2 linked regions of the Caenorhabditis elegans genome follow. The protein of the gene in region 1 interacts with the protein of each later gene in a pairwise test. Each region holds a gene or a part of one and is shown on either strand. Other genes may lie near its edges.

Region 1 (3,814 bases):
CTGATGAAGATGAAGATCTGTATGATGAGCTCGATTTAGAAGAATAGTTGTACCTAATTGATGCAGCCTACCCATTCATTGTAATTTTTAAAAAATCTCAATTTGCAATCATTATCTGATTACCTTTCTACATCATCTCGTCATAATTTCTCTAGTTTTAGCTTTCTATCTTCCAGTATATCTTGTTCTTTCAATTGTTCTGTGTGCTTCAAAATTCATGCTTTATCCGCTTTTTTCCTGTTCTTTTCTTTCTCTGTTTGCCGTTACCATCATCAACATCATAAGTCATCATCGAATCAACACAATCTCCTATCCATTTTTTTGTAAAATTAACACAATGATCAGAAAAACAATTCTCGCTTCCTTCTAGCTCTTTCTCTCTCCACATCCCACTATGTGCTCTCTACTTCATGTCTTCATCATGTTCCCCTCAAGCCCAGCAAATCTTAATTTTTCCTTATTTTCCATTATCTATTTTTCCTCATGAATCCCAGTTTTAAAAACAAGTAGCAGATTTTTTTTTGTTCTGAAACAATTCGCAAAAATTCCACAAAAAGTCCTTAAAAACAAACGAGTTCGTATTATAAAACTGTAACCTACCTTTTCCCAAAGTTGTTGTATTTCATTTTAATTATTTTAGAATGTGATTTTTCTACAATTCCCTTTTCATGATTCATCCTTTTTCTAGATTTAGTTATTGTCTCCCTTTACCATTTTTCTCGTTTTTGTCCATTAAATATGTTCATGATTAAATTTCAATGTCCGTATCTTTACAGAAGGTTTATGAATTTTTCAAAGTTACGAATTGTCAAAGAAACCAGAAAATCACAAAAAAGATTCAATTGAAAAAATAAAGAATTATTTACTGTCCAGTGTCCTTACGAGCTGTTGCACGGAACGCTCGTTCTTTTTCAAACTGGCGATTATCAGCTCGGTTTAAGAAGTCCATTTTGTTCAGATAACCGCCTTTCCCTCGGTTATGAGATTCCAAATCTTCCTGAAAAACAAACAATTTATTCAAAAACCTTAAACTTAAAGAAACATACTTTTAAATTATTTTGCGTCGTAAAATCTTTCCAATCTCGATCAGATTTCTCCAAAACAGAAATTTTAGAACGCTTCGACAGTGATTTTGCAGCATCAAGCAAGCCGACTCTTTTCTTTCCGGGTACAATGCTACTTTCAGACGATGTTCCAGCTGTTTCCGTTCTGAAAAAAATTATTAGAAAAATAAGAAAAAGTTGTTTTTAAATTTGTATCAAATAAAAACTCATGTCAACTCACTTTTTCGGATAAACCTTCTGATTTGTAGACTCGTTGGATGCAGATCTGTAAAATACATTTTTAAAAGTTATTTCTACTTGTTTCAAACATACGCTGCTGATTTTGGATACACCCTTTCTTCAGTTTTTGGAATATTCTTGCTTGATGTATCGTTGACAACTGGTTTCGGTGCTAGCCCAGTTAATTCTGCAAATATCGCATCCACATCAACACTTCCTTCAGTACTGTTTGCCTTTTCTGATGTATGGTCGTCACTTTGTTTTTCATTTTTCAGATGTTCAACTTCTTCGTCAATTCCATCTTCGCATTCTTCTTGATCATCGATCTGTTGAGGAGAATGAGCAATAAAAGGGCGATATCTAGGAATGCTTACTTCATCCTTTGGATCAAAATCGGTATCCTTTGTTGGATCGTAATCTTCATCGGACGATGAGTTGTAGTCTTCTTCGTTATTTTTAAGCTCCGAGGTCATTTTTCTGAAACAATTTATATTTTAAATAGTTTCACAATTTCAGTGAGAATTCAAAAGAATAAAATATGAATTAATATATTTATAAAATATGAATTAATTTATATTATAATATTATCTCAAAAAAAGTAGCGCGAGATAATTTTTCTTATTGAAGTACGCAATTGTGCGTGGTATTCAGTGTAAAATTCGACGGAGCGCACATGCTTTATGATGACTTAGCCGCCATTTTTGCATTTCATTGTCGAAATTCACTTCCTTTCATTTTTTCAAAGCACTCCCTTCAAAAACTTCATTTATATTGTTTCAGAACCAAAATGAATGCTCACGACGAAGTCCAGCGCACACTGTAAGTCATTAAACCTATATTCGTTTGAATTAACTCAATTTTTCAGGAATCCTACTTGTACCGGAACATCGGTTATCGCTCTCCAGTATAAAACTGGGGTTGTTGTCCTTACTGATCGAGTTGTTTCCTATGGAAAAATGGCTCGTTACAAGGTTTGAATTTCCGTTCAGCTGAAAGTGGATTTTCATAATATTTGTTTCCAGAATGTTTCTCGTCAATACAAGGTCAATGATAATGTTCTCATTGCCTTCGGAGGAGATCACGCTGACTTCCACTGGCTTCAAAATGTGATCGAGCGTCAGGTTCTTCTCTGGAAGCGCTTCGATCAGGATATTGGACCAAAAGCTCTCCACGGATACCTCACAAGCCTTCTCTACGCCAAGTCTGTTTTCCTAATTAAATTGAAAGTTTAAGTAAAAAATTTCAGACGTTGCAAGATGAACCCAGTGTGGAACACACTTGTTGTCGCCGGAGTCGAAGAGGAGGAGAAGAACAACAAGGAGACTAGCACACCTTTCATCGGTGTCATTACTCAGAAGGTAAACTTGAAAGCGTTAACTTGCCGGATCAGAATCTCATGATTAAATAATCACATAATAATTATTCTAAATTTCAGGGATGCGCATATCAAGTGAAGCACATTGCAACTGGACTTGGAGCGTTCCTCCTCAACCAAGCTGTTGAAGATGAGTGGAGAAAGAAGGGAGAAGACCTCTCCCGTGAAGAGGCAGAAGCCGTGCTTCGCAAATCGCTTGAACTTACTCTCTACCACGACTGCGTCGCTGACAATGAGTTCGAAATCGGACGTGTTGATGCGACAGAAGGTGTCGTTTTGGGTAAAGAAGAGAAGATTATTGGTGACTGGTCGATTGCCGAGACTAACTGTCAATATGAATAAGTTTTCCCCGGTGTGCAGGATGCGTTTCAGTATCTCCATGTTTAACTTATTTGTATCCTTCTTTTCAAAACATTTTACTCTCTCCAACCCACGTTTTCGGTGTAAATTTTATTTATTTTCGCGTGAAGTCGATAAATAAACTTCCATTTAATCCTTCTATTCACGTCTAAGTATTCACACGCATCATTTCACAAGTGCTCGAGTCAAAAATAGCGAGCATGAATTTCTCTGGTTTAAAAAGTATGATGAGTTTTTGGTTTAAAGTAAAATCGAGCGCTTTCAGGTAAACTCCAAAAGCTCAGTTTATCACCATCGCCTGATAAACAGAAATCTGATTATGAAAAGAAACAGGCGAAGAAGATGAGCTACAAAAAGAAGATGCAGCAGCGGTATAAACTGAGTGATGATCAGTATGAAACTCACAAGTAATTAAATAAATTGATGTATATGTAATAACTTATCTGATTTGGTTTCCAGGAAGGATGCTCAGAAACAACTGAAAAATTGGGAAGAATTTCGAAAGGAGCAAGTAGTTGAAATCTTTCATACGCAGTCTCAATACGTTTCGAAATCGAAAAATTCAGACGTGGTAAGCATACAGTATATATATATATATATCTCGCCGCGCAAAGGAAGTGCTTAATTACGGTTTTTACTATCCATCTAAAAAGTTAAAAAGAAATACATTATTTCTTGAAATTCAGCGCCATCCAAAGATGCAACGAGCCAATACGGTTGTCAATCGTCAAGGAGTGAAAGTTGATGTAGAATTTGGACGATTGAAAGAATACTACTTATCCACTTTGGCTCCACA
Region 2 (4,494 bases), on another chromosome or scaffold:
ACCATACGAAATAGACTGCCTGAAAAATATTTTTTTGCCTAGAACTATTATCAAGGAAATCTGACCATTCTTTCGATAATTTGCAGCGGCAAACTCTGTTCTTTGTTCAAAATTTTGTGTTACCTCGTCGATGTTAAAGGAGCTGAAAAAATTAGTTATTTTATTTTCTTAGTTTATCGTTTACCTACTACTTTCACGTGTAATAATTGTCGGTGAGTAAGCACATTGCCTTCTTGAACGATGAAAAAGTGCTAATCGATTCAATTTACCCATTTATTTCACCTGAAACCACAAACAATAATTTAAAAGAAAGAATGCGCTCAATCTGTTGAAAAATTAACGCTCGTCTGGACGAAGCAAATGCGCCCTGTCGCGAAACTAATTGGAGGGAAGATTAAAAAATATTTTTTTGTCAAACGAAACATTTCAGAAATTATTTTGCAATTCTATAATTGAAAATCAGATATCTTCGTGAAAAAACGTTATTTCCAGATGGTCTTCAAAAACATTGATTGACATTCGATAAAGTTTATTGATTGTTAGTGTGGGGAGAGGATACGAGCAATTTATATTTGGAGGGAATTGAAAATACATGCAATGATATCCGATATAATAAAATGCAGCAAAATAATTCAAGTTTAGTTTCAGAGCCTGCGAGAGATGGGGGGAGCGAGCGTGCTTTCTATATGACAGGAACATTGAGCTTATTATATTTACAAATTGCGCGCGTTATTATAGTTAGTATGGGACATAAAAACGTATGGCAATTTGACAAAATGTATAAATAGATGGGGAAGGAGGTGGTTATTCACCACAATTCAAGGTGCTTGGCAATGTCCATGGCAAGTTGATCAAGTCCAGGAATTGGAAGAGTTGTCTCGTTTCCAATCATCGGATTGTTGATAGACTTCAGAAGAATAGACTGAGCAGACTCCGAGTTGGCTTGGCAGGCAGCATCTGCAGCAGCAGAAGCAGCTGTGAGTGGAGACGAATCACTATCTTGAGACGGAGTTGATCCAGAGGAAGAATATCCCGAAACTCCTCCCGGTGTTGATTGTTTTCCAAGCATAGAGTATTGCATGTTCCCGGCTGCTCCAATAAGCATAGACTCAAACGGACTGATTGGACGAGTTGCCATATTCAGACTATCCAATGCGAAGAAAGTTGATGGATCCAACGGCCAGCTTGATGGTGGGCGATTCCCGGCTTCTGTAAAATTATTTTGAATTAATCATCAATATTCAATTTTCATACCCTCAGTCTCAAGTGGCTTCTTCGATGGCAACTCGTATCGTGGTCCACGAATGCTAACTGGGGTTGGACCCAATGGCATATTTGCTGCTGGCTCATCTGGTGTGCATGGCCTTGCAAACATATCAAATTGTTGAGGGCCGGCTGTAGAACGACCTCCATTCATGATATGATGCTCCATTTGATCGCGAAGGTCGGCCAAAGCATGACGTTGCGAAACCTGTTGAAGATTTGATTAAAGTGGAAAATTAAAAAGTTATCTTACCTCGAACAATTTATCGGCTCGAATGTATGCATTTGGTCCATTGTCCGGATGAATGAAAAGACAGCGTTTTCCATATGGGCACAACCCAGTAGTAGTGTACTTATCGCAGAGCTTCGTCCGGTACTTATTGTTTTGACGTGCCTCGATCCTGTAAAATATGTTGTGTAATCTTAATTCAATGTTCAAACCAACAGAGATGGACGAAGCTCCTCTTCGCCGTGAGCAAAACGACAGTTCTCCGCGAAAGCACATGTCTTCGACTCCAACCAAGCCTGACATATGACAGTCTTGTACGATTCCGGTTTTTGCATTCGGTGACGGCGTCTTGGATCAGCATGATATTGCAGTGGGAGAATAGCTTCCTGTGGAAGATTTTGAAGAGCTCTCATTTGCATCGAATGAATATGCTCGTTTCTGAGAAGATAAAATTTAAGAAACAGTCCATTTATCCTATAGAATTACTCAGCAATCTCCTTGAGAAGCTGCTCCTTGACAGCCATCAGGTTAGCGGTCTCGGAAAGCAAATCGTCGATATGAGAAATCGGTTTTTGCTGTTCTTCCGGAACAGTCTCCATCATATCGGGATGCGATGGTTCAACACTCGACTCTGTACGAGCCCTTAAAAAAGAAAATTAAAATTGAGAAACTATGATAAAAGTGGCTCACTCATTATTCTGGATAACATTTTCCTTGAGCATATCCATTATTTCGTTAGTAGTGCAGGGGAAATGGGTGGTTAGTGATTAGGCGTGGGGTGCTCGGTTAATTGATTCCCTGAAATTTAAAGAAATTTTAAAAATGGTAAGATTCCGCGAGCAATGAATAACAACCGTCTAAAGAATGAAAGAAATAAGTTTTTAACGAGAAAAAACGAATGCGCCAAAACGGTATAAAATTATTGTTTTAAGCGACGTAATTCAGAAATAAGCTCTTTTAAAATTCAAATAAACGGGCCAAAATCCTTCTGAATGAAATAAATGAATGAACAGAACCAAATGTTGTTGAACAAAAGAAAACTGAAGAAAACCATCTCTGTCCCAAAATTTCGAAACAAAAAGTCAATGTTTGGCGGCAATGCGCGCTAAATAAGATCAAATAATTATTTTTTAATACTTAAGTTTAGAATTAAGTCTGAAATTTATGGTTGAATCAAAGTCAAAAAACTTGCAAGAAAATGTTGCCAATTTTCACCAATGACTACGGTCACACTCGTTTGAGATGTGCACTCCCCGCTGCTGCGCCTTTAAAGGTTACTGTAACTAATAATTTTTTTTTAGCAAGCATGGAAATTGTGTAATTGTCTGAAAAAGTAACTCATAAACAGCGAATAACTAGATTTTCTCGACTAAAAAATTTTCAACAACACTGTCTGACCAAAATCTAGCTGTAAAAGAACATTACTTTGCAAATATACTTGCTGGAAGGTATTCGAATTTTTATTCAATATTTACATGTATATTTGATTTATTGTAAGTTCATTGTATTCCTATTAAAATCACTTGTGCATTCCATAATTTGACGCCTGGGAATAAACATTTTGGTCGAAAACTAGCGGTGTTCCATTGGACTCAACAACATCCATCAACTTTGACTTTTTTGCTTTTTCCAAGAAGAAACTGTTTGTTGTGTCGATGAACTTGCATGGACGCATTCCATTTCTAAAATATTATCATTTTTCCACAGTCCTTTGTCAAAAAATCACTCACTCAATAGCCATTTTAGCAGCTCCAATCTCCAACTTCTCTCCAAGATTTTTACCACGATGCCCCTAAAAACAGATTTGAAAATATTCAATTTGAAAATAGTAAAACTCACATCAAAGACATGCAAATGAGCAAGTGCTCCGTGAGTTTCTGAAGAAATGAATCCAACAAGTTCGTCGCCTTTACGAACGCAGAGCGATGGGAACCGTCGAAGTTTTTCTCTGAAAAAAATTCCTATTTTTCCATGTAACTGTTGTTTTACGATTTCTCGATTTTGTGAGAAAATGATATAAATCTAGTACTGTTGGTTTTTAATTTCCTGATCCAAAAACTCACTCTACTAATTTTGCATTTGGTGTGATAGATGATCCTACAATCTTCATAACATCATTTGTTGATTCAGGTATATCAATTGAGTATCCATCAGGTAATGTTGTATCACCATAATTTCTATATTTGAAAATTTGACTTTCATTCATTGCAAAAAAGTGTGTTGATTTGTTTTGCACCTCTGCATTAATATTGTTTTTCTTCATGTACTTTTCAATCTAAAATCAAACGTTTCTTATCTATTAACCTTTGTTCTGTTTTCATTGTGTATTACCGCTTTAGTGTAACATTTCTCGGCTACAGTTGATGGAGCATTGGAGCCAGCAAACAATCCATTTGTTTTACAGAATTCATCAAAAACCGCCAGAAAGTCTTCTTCTCGAAACTTTCCATCGTGTGTCAGAATTTGACGGTCTCTGAAAAGGTGCGAAGGTCAATTTCGAATTGAAAAAAAGAGATAGCAAAAGGTGGGAAAAGGTCTTTAGTGATACTGAAAAATGTTTTTGAAAATGAAGAAAAACTGGTTTAGGAATGGATTGTCATGGAAATGTTTGATCTTATCAAATATTACGGTCGAATCGGAAAAACATGAGTGAAGATACGGAAAAATGTAGTCAGCCATGGACATTTAAAACGGAATTCACTTTTTTTTCAAAGTGAACAAAGTTTAGGGTCGCGTGTACCTACTTATAAAGTAATTGTCCCATGTATTGAAAGTTCATGTTTTTGTAGTTTGAAACGGGAGGAAATGGCAAAGTTGTTGGCAAGTCAAATACATTCTCTACATTGAAAATTTCAAGTTGCTTTCTAACCTTACTTATCTAGGTTTATGCGGGCATATATACAAACTTCGTACAGTAACTCGTTCGTTTTCGAAAATTTTTGGGTTTTGGTAAAAAGAATTTAAATTTTGTAGAAATTTTATATATCTACAGTATTCTTCTC

The links.
Region 2: the proteins of F39H11.1 (region 1) and oma-2 interact in a two-hybrid assay, tested with the Caenorhabditis elegans proteins (2 studies listed by BioGRID).

Annotation. Positions count from the first base shown.
Region 1 is NC_003279.8:8,694,549-8,698,362, reverse strand, and holds F39H11.1 (Craniofacial development protein 1), read right to left. Parts: upstream 1,761-3,814; 5' UTR 1,757-1,760; coding exon 1,658-1,756; intron 1,610-1,657; coding exon 1,377-1,609; intron 1,330-1,376; coding exon 1,285-1,329; intron 1,210-1,284; coding exon 1,047-1,209; intron 998-1,046; coding exon 863-997; 3' UTR 767-862; downstream 1-766. Other genes in the region: tlf-1 (TATA box-binding protein-like 1), read left to right, coding at 1-47; pbs-7 (Proteasome subunit beta), read left to right, coding at 2,071-2,102, 2,149-2,254, 2,306-2,484, 2,530-2,641, 2,719-3,000; K07A12.5 (Pre-mRNA-splicing factor SYF2), read left to right, coding at 3,219-3,240, 3,284-3,425, 3,478-3,589, 3,705-3,814.
Region 2 is NC_003283.11:8,027,235-8,031,728, reverse strand, and holds oma-2 (CCCH-type zinc finger protein oma-2), read right to left. Parts: upstream 2,291-4,494; 5' UTR 2,221-2,290; coding exon 2,183-2,220; intron 2,135-2,182; coding exon 1,979-2,134; intron 1,931-1,978; coding exon 1,709-1,930; intron 1,665-1,708; coding exon 1,517-1,664; intron 1,472-1,516; coding exon 1,255-1,471; intron 1,210-1,254; coding exon 809-1,209; 3' UTR 515-808; downstream 1-514. Other genes in the region: vars-1 (valine--tRNA ligase), read right to left, coding at 1-19, 66-142, 185-273; F43H9.4 (Glycine N-acyltransferase-like protein), read right to left, coding at 3,012-3,174, 3,223-3,284, 3,332-3,440, 3,556-3,767, 3,824-3,965. UniProt on the Caenorhabditis elegans protein: Zinc-finger RNA-binding protein that binds to 5'-UA[AU]-3' motifs in the 3'-UTR of maternal mRNAs to suppress translation in oocytes and embryos.